Linked DNA regions of Saccharomyces cerevisiae S288C. Changing the gene in region 3 together with the main gene of any one other region gives a genetic interaction. Each region holds a gene or a part of one and is shown on either strand. Other genes may lie near its edges. The genes, in order: NPR1, RIM9 and TKL1.

Region 1 (3,759 bases), on a different chromosome or scaffold from region 3:
TAGGAAATAAATACCTTTTTATTGCTCAAGCACAAAAAGCATTAATCAATGTCTACAATCTGTCAGGTTCTTTCAAAAGAGAATCTGTTGAACAGCGCTTACCATTACCTGAAATCCTAAAATGTCTGGAAGTAGTTGAAAATGATGGTGTGCAGTATGATAGAATTCAAGGTGTCAATCATAATTTACCAGACTTCAATCTTCCGTACCTTTTACTTGGCTCCACCGAATCGGGTAAATTGTACATATGGGAGTTAAATTCAGGGATTTTATTGAACGTGAAGCCTATGGCTCATTACCAAAGTATCACCAAGATTAAGTCCATTTTAAACGGCAAGTATATTATTACTTCTGGTAACGATTCGAGAGTTATTATATGGCAAACTGTTGACTTGGTATCAGCGTCCAATGATGATCCTAAGCCTTTATGTATCCTTCACGATCATACTCTACCCGTGACAGATTTCCAAGTTTCTTCTAGTCAAGGAAAATTTTTATCATGTACTGATACGAAACTCTTCACAGTATCTCAAGATGCTACCATTAGATGCTATGATTTGAGTTTAATAGGCAGCAAAAAGAAGCAGAAGGCAAACGAAAATGACGTTAGTATTGGTAAGACCCCAGTATTGCTTGCGACATTTACAACTCCTTATTCTATCAAATCCATTGTACTGGATCCTGCTGACAGAGCATGCTATATTGGTACTGCGGAAGGTTGTTTTTCATTGAATTTATTTTATAAACTAAAGGGTAATGCTATCGTTAATCTGCTACAGTCCGCCGGAGTAAACACAGTTCAAAAAGGTAGGGTTTTTTCCCTAGTGCAACGTAACTCACTAACTGGCGGCGAAAATGAAGATTTGGATGCACTATATGCAATGGGCCAACTTGTCTGTGAGAATGTCCTAAATTCAAATGTGTCATGCCTAGAAATATCAATGGATGGTACATTATTATTGATCGGTGATACGGAGGGGAAAGTTTCTATTGCGGAAATTTACTCAAAACAAATCATTAGAACTATCCAAACTTTAACTACATCACAGGATTCAGTTGGAGAAGTGACCAATCTCTTAACCAACCCTTACAGACTCGAACGTGGAAATTTACTTTTTGAAGGAGAATCCAAAGGCAAACAACCTAGTAATAATAATGGTCACAATTTTATGAAGATACCAAACTTACAAAGAGTTATCTTTGATGGTAAAAACAAAGGCCATTTACACGATATTTGGTATCAGATAGGAGAACCAGAAGCAGAGACAGATCCTAACCTCGCATTACCACTTAACGACTTTAATGCCTATTTGGAGCAGGTCAAAACGCAAGAATCGATATTTTCACATATCGGTAAGGTGTCAAGCAATGTAAAAGTGATTGACAATAAAATCGACGCCACTTCATCTTTAGACAGCAATGCCGCTAAAGATGAGGAAATTACAGAACTTAAGACCAACATAGAAGCATTAACTCATGCCTACAAGGAGTTACGTGACATGCACGAAAAGCTGTACGAGGAACACCAACAGATGCTTGACAAGCAATAAACGGAATAGTCGCGCATTTTGTACAATAAAATAGGAATGTTATTAAAATATACAGCATAGATAGATATAATTCATCACTTGTGCGAAACATCTCATTCTCAATCTGACTGATCATCTATTACGGAATTTTTTCGTTATCAATGACGCATCCCACAATTCCTACCCTTATAGCTTATCTCAGAATATGGGCCGCCTTTAGTTGTATAGAGTTAGTACGGATTAGTCAGTGGCGTACCTAGTGGCAACAATCGGCAGTGACTAAAAATCTTGCTTTTGTTATTGAAAGAATAATAAACAGGAGTTCTCGTTCCTTTGCGTCATTTTCAACCCCATACAAACTAGTTGGCTTGTACCAGAACTCATTAATACTTTTGTCTAACTCTTTCCTATTTCTGATTTTCCAACAGCTCATACCCATTCAAACAAAAAAGGAAAGCTCTACGAAACATTATGTCTTCATTAACTCGATTGCTACAGGAAAAACGAAAAAATGAAACTTCGAACTCATCACCGAGAACTTCTGCTGATACGTTGACCACGACGCCCGAGTCACAATCGCTTGACCTTCACTCTAGGAATAAGAGTAGTAGTCATATTGGTAGCGTGAGTAATAGCAGCAGTAGTGATCGTAATAGGGCTAACGTGCCAGTTCCTGGCAGTGTCACAACTGTTACTCAAATATACTCAGAGGAAGATTCATCATCAACAGCCGGTTCCTCTCTCGACGATAGGAATCAGTTTTCCTCCAGCTTCCTTAATGCAAACTTTGCTCACACTGCATCATTCTACGGCACAAGTGCACAAAGTAGAGATAGATTTGGATCCTTAATAAACGATCAAGGTACTGCAGGACTTTCCTCACATGGTGGTTCTTTTGCTGCACAGAACAGAATCACAAGTAGATTATCTACCACGTCACATACTTCAGGAAGGGCCATTCCTTCTTTATCATCAAGTATACCTTACTCCGTGCCAAATTCTAACAAAGATAACAATAGCTCGAATAGCAACAGCTCCTCTTTGTCTTCTTCGTGGCTCGAAACATATGCAGGCGGTATGCCCAATAATATTTCTGCAATCGATTCAAATGTTATATCCTCCCCAAAAGTAGATAGCGTGGAACCACGTTTTGTTATCTCCAAACAAAAACTCCAAAAAGCATCGATGGATAGTAATAATGCAAATGCCACTCAATCAAGATCTATATCCCGTTCAGGTTCATTCTCTTCACAGCTTGGGAATTTTTTCTTTTCCAAAAACTCAAAAGAATCTTCAAATTCTAACTCTGCAGGCATGTCTTTTTCTGCCAATTCCAATGGTCCTTCTCCAAACATTAAGAATCCCAATGTTACCAATGGTTCGACGCCTATCCCGAAGCCTATCCGCGCAAGACAAAGCAGCATATATTCTGCATCAAGACAGCCAACTGGTTCCTATACTGATAACTTTTACGGTTCCCCCTCATCTGTACATGACCACTTACCTCCAAGTCAAAGTGTTCCAAGGTCACAACATTCTTCCATCGGTGATTTAAAGAGGTTCTTCAAAAAAAGTTCTAACAGTAACCTTTCCTCGAATAGTAACAACGTGATCCCGAACGGATCACCTCTTTCTAGCGGAATTGCCGTTCCGTCACACTCTCATTCATCGTCTCATTTTGCCGCAGGGAATAACTCATATTCCACTAGTTATAACGGAAATGGAGATACTATTTATTCTCATAGTCACGGCGGTTCAGGAATTCCGTTCTCAAAAAGGTACATCAAAACCGGTGCCGATTTAGGCGCTGGAGCAGGAGGTTCTGTCAAATTAGCTCAAAGAATTTCAGATAACAAAATATTTGCAGTGAAGGAGTTTAGAACTAAATTTGAAAATGAATCCAAAAGAGATTATGTCAAGAAAATTACATCAGAATACTGTATTGGTACAACTTTGAATCATCCCAATATCATTGAAACAATTGAAATCGTGTATGAAAATGATAGAATTCTCCAAGTTATGGAATATTGTGAATACGATTTATTTGCTATTGTAATGAGTAATAAAATGTCCTATGAAGAGATTTGTTGTTGCTTCAAACAAATACTTACTGGTGTACAATATTTGCATAGTATCGGCTTAGCTCATAGAGATCTAAAGCTAGATAATTGTGTTATAAACGAAAAAGGTATTGTAAAATTAATCGATTTTGGTGCTGCTGTGGTATTTT
Region 2 (3,379 bases), on a different chromosome or scaffold from region 3:
GGATTGCAAATCATTCGTGTTTTCAATCTCTGATAATATATTTTCAAGACCTCTTAATTTGGCAATATCGGTTGAAGACAAATGCAGAACGTGAAAAGATCTAACGCTTTTGCTCGCAGGTGTAAGTACAATATTTCTTTGATGTTGTCGTCTTGCAACGAATTCCATCAACCATTTATTCACTCCCCTAATATCATCAAACTTTAATTTGCTATCAACTAGTATGGTTTTTAGGCTCACCGGGTGTTTTATCAGTGATGGAGCAATTTTTTTGCCATCAAGCAGGCTAGGATTGTATTCCGTAGCGCATGCCGTGAATTGTTCTATTGCTGTTGGTTGGTAAAATGGGTGAATTATTTCTTCCGGATGAGGAACTTTATCGGCATGTTTAATGATCTTTCGACCGTCCGCTACTAAAGGAGTCTTTTTAAGTACTGGGTACCATTTGCGAGATTGCATCCTAATGAAGCACAGGTTTCTCCATTTGCTGATTTCTTGCACTGTAGTAATCATTTTCTAAGACCCTTAACAGATAGTGATGGAGGAAGAAAAAAATGTACAAATATTTGGAAGCCGATTGGCAAACCGATGTAACGTGCAAAATGACACATGATGTTACTTATTCAATGAACCCTCTATATGTCACTTCTGGAGCAATCAGACTATCTGTATGTGTTGGAGCCACTTCATATTCTGAGCTATTGCCGTTCTGTTTACTCTGGTAAATGTCGGAAATTGAGTACTGTTCCATTGAGCACGCATGCGCAATTGACTGTTGCGATTCATATTTTTTGACTGACACAACTCTTCTCATGACCCACAGCATGGAACAACAAAGTGCTACGCTAATAGTAGCGGCTAGCATTAGCCAGCCGGGCCAGTCCAGTTTGGAGATGAACAGAAGAATATCTACCAAAAAACATAAAAGACATAGCATGAACGTTGGCAGCGAAAAAAGGGCCGTGAACAATAACATCTCAGGTGAGTCCCCTAGTGGAGTTACCATGATAATCACTGCTAAAATTAATAGCGTTCCTGTGAATGCCAGTGAAATCGGGTGAACCACTAATAAATTGGAGACGACCACTTTTGAGTTCGATGGCAGGGTCAAAACGTGCCCGGAGGAGTCGACATCTGTACTGTCATATCCTATCTTCATTTTCGTGCACATCAATTCTTGGTTTTGACCACGTACACACCAGCCAAACAGGCCATAATAGTGGTTTCTGAATGACGATAACGATAGGTACTTGGTCACGGGGACGGTTATTAGCGGAAGTATTTCGAACATGGTTGTGATTGCTAGCAAAAACACCACAATATGGATCATGCTAACCATTCTCCTCTTTTCCTCAATGAATCTGTCTCAACCGTATAAATCTTTGTTTAGAAGGACGTCTCTACTCATTTCCCGGTTCTCAACGCTCATCACTATCTATCTATATTCATTGTTTCTTAGCTTATACTTGCGCGCGCCGCTGGTGAAAATCAAACTATAGCGAGATTCGACAATAAATTGGCAGTTACTTTTAGTGATAAAGAAAAGTCATGTTTTGTATATAGTCATAGCATGCTGTGTTGTAAATGTGATCTGTCTGAGACGTGTCAGTAGATCATAAATTTACAAACATTAAAATACATTTTTCATCGCTGTATAGCAAAAGTAATCTTATACTTTGTTGGTATGCTGAAGTAAAACACAGGGCTCTTGGCTTCACCCCCACGCTGTATCATAGAATAAAGAGAGTAGTGATGCAATAGGGCCGTGGTTAGACCCAAATTGAAGGTAGCGTTGATAGTAGTACTAAGTGAGAGTGCTTAGCAATCATTATTGACGGTGTTTTCTTGGCGAAGGTCTTTTTCTACTGCGATGGACAGGTAGGATGACTCACTGCGTAATTCGTTGCCAACTTCTTTAGTCGTCGAGTATATAAAAGCCTCATCCTCGGCTCGCCGCACAAAGGTGACGATTTTTGGGCTAGTATCAGCAATACTTCTATTCCCTTTATTTAAAGAAGTCCAAAATTCAACATAGCATGAGAATATCATCAACATTGCTTCAACGCTCGAAGCAGCTTATAGATAAGTATGCATTATACGTGCCCAAGACGGGCTCTTTTCCTAAAGGATTTGAAGTAGGCTACACTGCATCTGGAGTCAAAAAAAACGGGAGCCTGGACCTGGGTGTAATCTTGAATACCAATAAATCTCGTCCTTCAACCGCAGCAGCTGTTTTCACGACCAATAAATTCAAAGCTGCGCCAGTTTTGACATCGAAAAAAGTCCTTGAAACTGCTCGTGGTAAAAACATCAACGCTATTGTAGTCAATTCCGGTTGTGCTAACTCGGTCACAGGTGATCTTGGTATGAAAGATGCCCAAGTAATGATTGATTTGGTTAACGATAAAATTGGTCAAAAAAATTCTACCCTAGTCATGTCTACAGGCGTTATTGGACAACGACTACAGATGGACAAGATCAGCACTGGTATCAATAAAATTTTTGGAGAAGAAAAGTTCGGCAGTGATTTTAACTCTTGGTTGAACGTAGCCAAATCAATCTGTACTACTGATACTTTCCCAAAATTAGTTACATCTAGATTCAAATTACCTAGTGGTACTGAGTATACTTTGACAGGTATGGCAAAGGGCGCGGGTATGATTTGTCCGAATATGGCTACCTTATTAGGTTTCATAGTTACAGATCTTCCTATTGAAAGCAAGGCGTTGCAGAAGATGCTGACTTTCGCTACTACCCGTTCATTTAATTGTATATCGGTGGACGGTGATATGAGCACCAATGACACAATTTGCATGTTGGCCAACGGTGCTATTGACACCAAAGAAATTAACGAAGACTCTAAAGATTTTGAACAAGTAAAATTGCAGGTCACAGAATTTGCTCAGCGCTTGGCCCAGTTAGTCGTTCGCGATGGTGAAGGTTCGACAAAGTTTGTTACTGTTAACGTTAAAAATGCTTTGCATTTTGAAGACGCCAAAATAATTGCTGAATCAATCTCAAACTCTATGTTGGTCAAAACCGCACTATATGGGCAAGATGCCAATTGGGGAAGAATATTGTGCGCGATCGGGTATGCAAAGCTGAATGACTTAAAATCTCTAGATGTCAACAAAATTAATGTTAGCTTTATTGCTACCGACAATTCAGAACCTCGTGAGCTGAAGCTTGTCGCTAATGGTGTGCCACAATTGGAGATCGATGAAACAAGGGCTTCTGAAATATTGGCTTTGAATGATTTGGAAGTGTCTGTCGACTTGGGAACCGGTGATCAGGCAGCACAATTTTGGACTTGTGATTTATCACATGAATATGTAACAATTAACGGTGATTACCGTTCATAAATTCATGTATATTTTGT
Region 3 (3,759 bases):
GAGGCACCACATTTATCAAACTGGTTACGTTCGTTTTCTGAAAATCAAACAAAAAATGTCGAGCTCCTCCAAGGCTTCTGCAAGTTCATCCTTGTCAAGCACAGCCACCTCTTCAACTTCTGCAACTAGAGGCAGCGACGGATGTGTTGTTTGCGATTCAACTGCATCATGCCCTGTTTGCGCTTCAGGAGAATATTGTGTTATGACTTCATTAACATGTGACAAGTGCCCATCCACATACTGTGCGAAACAGTCCGATTCACAACTGAGTAGTTTATCTTCCTCCTCCTCTAGTTCTAGTTCCAGTAATTCAAATGAGAAAACCTCGTTGATTGTGGGGTTCACCGTGGGTATTGTAGGTGGTGCGATGCTTATTGCCTTGGTGGCGTTGTATTTCATCAACAAGAGATATTGGAAGCCCAAAAGGCAAAAAAATAAAGCTTTGAAATTGGAAGAGGCATCGCAAAGTTACGGGAATGAAGAGGAATACTTCGACGATGAAGACGATGATGATGAAGACGATGAGGATGATGGCGGTATGAGAAAAGATGAAAGTCACACCCTGTTCAATACGTCACTGGTACCTCCAACTCTCAACGTGCCGGGAAACAGAAGTTCAGCATCTACCACTCGTACAAGGGCTTCTAATATTTTGCCTATTGCCTACATTCCTGGTGTGACAAGCGGTTTGAGTACCGACAAACTGCAATCAAAACTACGCTCGAGCTCTAAGAGACAAAATGCAGCTGGTGATATCAGGTCACATATAACCTTAGGTTCTTCCATCTTGGATGGTCTGGATGACGAAGATGACGAGCATAACCAGGTACTCAATAAGGACGCAGACGATAACCTCATAACTGCTATTCGTGCTAAACCTAAACTGGTTCAAATCGCAGAGGAAGAGAGTGATAAGGAGATTCAGGACTTGGATGTCATTGAAGAACAGACAGAGGCGGATGATCTTTCACACATGGCAAAAAGCGAGGCAAGCCATGGTAATAACGACGAAGATGACGATGAAGAAGGAAGTTTTATACTGGACTTGGAAATTCCAGAATCGATACGCGAGAGCACCCAGGGCAGTCGCACTGAGAGCCCGTTTGAGGACAAGTTCGAAATACACGATGAACGATAAATAAAAGGCGTGTCAGTATTCTGCAATCCCGGGGAAAATATTATATCATATCAATATTCAATGATCTACGTCTATATAGTTACGTGTATACGCCGTAATAAGCGCTTTTTTTTTTTTTTTAATTTTCTGACTACTGTTCAGCCATCAAGGTATGTCTAAATTAATAATATTCAGCATTTTCAACGTGCGCTTACCATCTGCTAATACACAGCTCCTCTGAAAGTTTCTTGGCCGAATGTCATAATTTTCGAACCAAATATAAAAATTCATACACATTAAAACAAGATGTGCTTACAAAGCGGATAAGTTCCGCAGCAGCCAAAGCTGCATTGAGACATTTTTCGCATACACATCACTTCTCTGGGGAATGAAGCATCCGAAAACGCCAACGGGACTAAAATACAGCAAACTTGCATTTTGGTCATTTATGGTTAGCAAGTTTAAGTGCTACTACATTACATATTACCTGACCCTGAAAACGGGCTTAAAAGCCCATCTACTATAGTGCCGCTGCGGGTAACCGTAGCTTCTTGCTTTTTTTCCCACCGTCATTTATTTTCTAGTCTTCTTTCCGAGAAATGCCGGCGGCGTTTGCCGTTCCGTTCGCAATCTCTCGAGAAGTTCGAGAGATGAAAAATTTTCTTGGGAAAGCCAAGAAGGTACGATCGTAGGCATGATTCATATATAAACTCTTTCCCAATCTTTTTGGTTACGTACATACTCCCCCCTGATCTTTTACCTACATACTTGATCGTGACTTCTTGATTCATTCATTTCTTGTTCTCACCGTTGTCTTCCTTTTAAATTTCGTTTTTTAAGTTTCAGATCAAACTGAAGTACAACAGAGAAGGAAGCTCATCCCAAGCAACTCTACATAGTTACCTCTTTAGCAAACAAAATGACTCAATTCACTGACATTGATAAGCTAGCCGTCTCCACCATAAGAATTTTGGCTGTGGACACCGTATCCAAGGCCAACTCAGGTCACCCAGGTGCTCCATTGGGTATGGCACCAGCTGCACACGTTCTATGGAGTCAAATGCGCATGAACCCAACCAACCCAGACTGGATCAACAGAGATAGATTTGTCTTGTCTAACGGTCACGCGGTCGCTTTGTTGTATTCTATGCTACATTTGACTGGTTACGATCTGTCTATTGAAGACTTGAAACAGTTCAGACAGTTGGGTTCCAGAACACCAGGTCATCCTGAATTTGAGTTGCCAGGTGTTGAAGTTACTACCGGTCCATTAGGTCAAGGTATCTCCAACGCTGTTGGTATGGCCATGGCTCAAGCTAACCTGGCTGCCACTTACAACAAGCCGGGCTTTACCTTGTCTGACAACTACACCTATGTTTTCTTGGGTGACGGTTGTTTGCAAGAAGGTATTTCTTCAGAAGCTTCCTCCTTGGCTGGTCATTTGAAATTGGGTAACTTGATTGCCATCTACGATGACAACAAGATCACTATCGATGGTGCTACCAGTATCTCATTCGATGAAGATGTTGCTAAGAGATACGAAGCCTACGGTTGGGAAGTTTTGTACGTAGAAAATGGTAACGAAGATCTAGCCGGTATTGCCAAGGCTATTGCTCAAGCTAAGTTATCCAAGGACAAACCAACTTTGATCAAAATGACCACAACCATTGGTTACGGTTCCTTGCATGCCGGCTCTCACTCTGTGCACGGTGCCCCATTGAAAGCAGATGATGTTAAACAACTAAAGAGCAAATTCGGTTTCAACCCAGACAAGTCCTTTGTTGTTCCACAAGAAGTTTACGACCACTACCAAAAGACAATTTTAAAGCCAGGTGTCGAAGCCAACAACAAGTGGAACAAGTTGTTCAGCGAATACCAAAAGAAATTCCCAGAATTAGGTGCTGAATTGGCTAGAAGATTGAGCGGCCAACTACCCGCAAATTGGGAATCTAAGTTGCCAACTTACACCGCCAAGGACTCTGCCGTGGCCACTAGAAAATTATCAGAAACTGTTCTTGAGGATGTTTACAATCAATTGCCAGAGTTGATTGGTGGTTCTGCCGATTTAACACCTTCTAACTTGACCAGATGGAAGGAAGCCCTTGACTTCCAACCTCCTTCTTCCGGTTCAGGTAACTACTCTGGTAGATACATTAGGTACGGTATTAGAGAACACGCTATGGGTGCCATAATGAACGGTATTTCAGCTTTCGGTGCCAACTACAAACCATACGGTGGTACTTTCTTGAACTTCGTTTCTTATGCTGCTGGTGCCGTTAGATTGTCCGCTTTGTCTGGCCACCCAGTTATTTGGGTTGCTACACATGACTCTATCGGTGTCGGTGAAGATGGTCCAACACATCAACCTATTGAAACTTTAGCACACTTCAGATCCCTACCAAACATTCAAGTTTGGAGACCAGCTGATGGTAACGAAGTTTCTGCCGCCTACAAGAACTCTTTAGAATCCAAGCATACTCCAAGTATCATTGCTTTGTCCAGACAAAACTTGCCACAATTGGAAGGTAGCTCTATTGAAAGCGCTTCTAAGGGTGGTTACGTACTACAAGATGTTGCTAACCCAGATATTATTTTAGTGGCTACTGGTTCCGAAGTGTCTTTGAGTGTTGAAGCTGCTAAGA

What was found.
Region 1: mutations in TKL1 (region 3) and NPR1 together harm fitness more than expected from each alone (negative genetic interaction), as found in Saccharomyces cerevisiae (2 studies listed by BioGRID).
Region 2: mutations in TKL1 (region 3) and RIM9 together harm fitness more than expected from each alone (negative genetic interaction), as found in Saccharomyces cerevisiae (2 studies listed by BioGRID).

What each region holds. Positions count from the first base shown.
Region 1 is NC_001146.8:293,751-297,509, reverse strand, and holds the start of NPR1 (serine/threonine protein kinase NPR1), read left to right. Parts: upstream 1-2,000; coding exon 2,001-3,759. Other genes in the region: chromatin-binding/pre-rRNA-processing protein IPI3, read left to right, coding at 1-1,550. UniProt on the Saccharomyces cerevisiae protein: Nutrient-regulated protein kinase that promotes the activity of at least 6 distinct transport systems for nitrogenous nutrients under conditions of nitrogen catabolite derepression.
Region 2 is NC_001145.3:395,037-398,415, reverse strand, and holds RIM9 (Rim9p), read right to left. Parts: upstream 1,340-3,379; coding exon 620-1,339; downstream 1-619. Other genes in the region: AEP1 (Aep1p), read right to left, coding at 1-513; ARG7 (glutamate N-acetyltransferase), read left to right, coding at 2,037-3,362. UniProt on the Saccharomyces cerevisiae protein: Required for the proteolytic cleavage of the transcriptional repressor RIM101 in response to alkaline ambient pH, which is necessary for sporulation and invasive growth.
Region 3 is NC_001148.4:693,116-696,874, reverse strand, and holds the start of TKL1 (transketolase TKL1), read left to right. Parts: upstream 1-2,036; coding exon 2,037-3,759. Other genes in the region: OPY2 (Opy2p), read left to right, coding at 56-1,138. UniProt on the Saccharomyces cerevisiae protein: Catalyzes the transfer of a two-carbon ketol group from a ketose donor to an aldose acceptor, via a covalent intermediate with the cofactor thiamine pyrophosphate.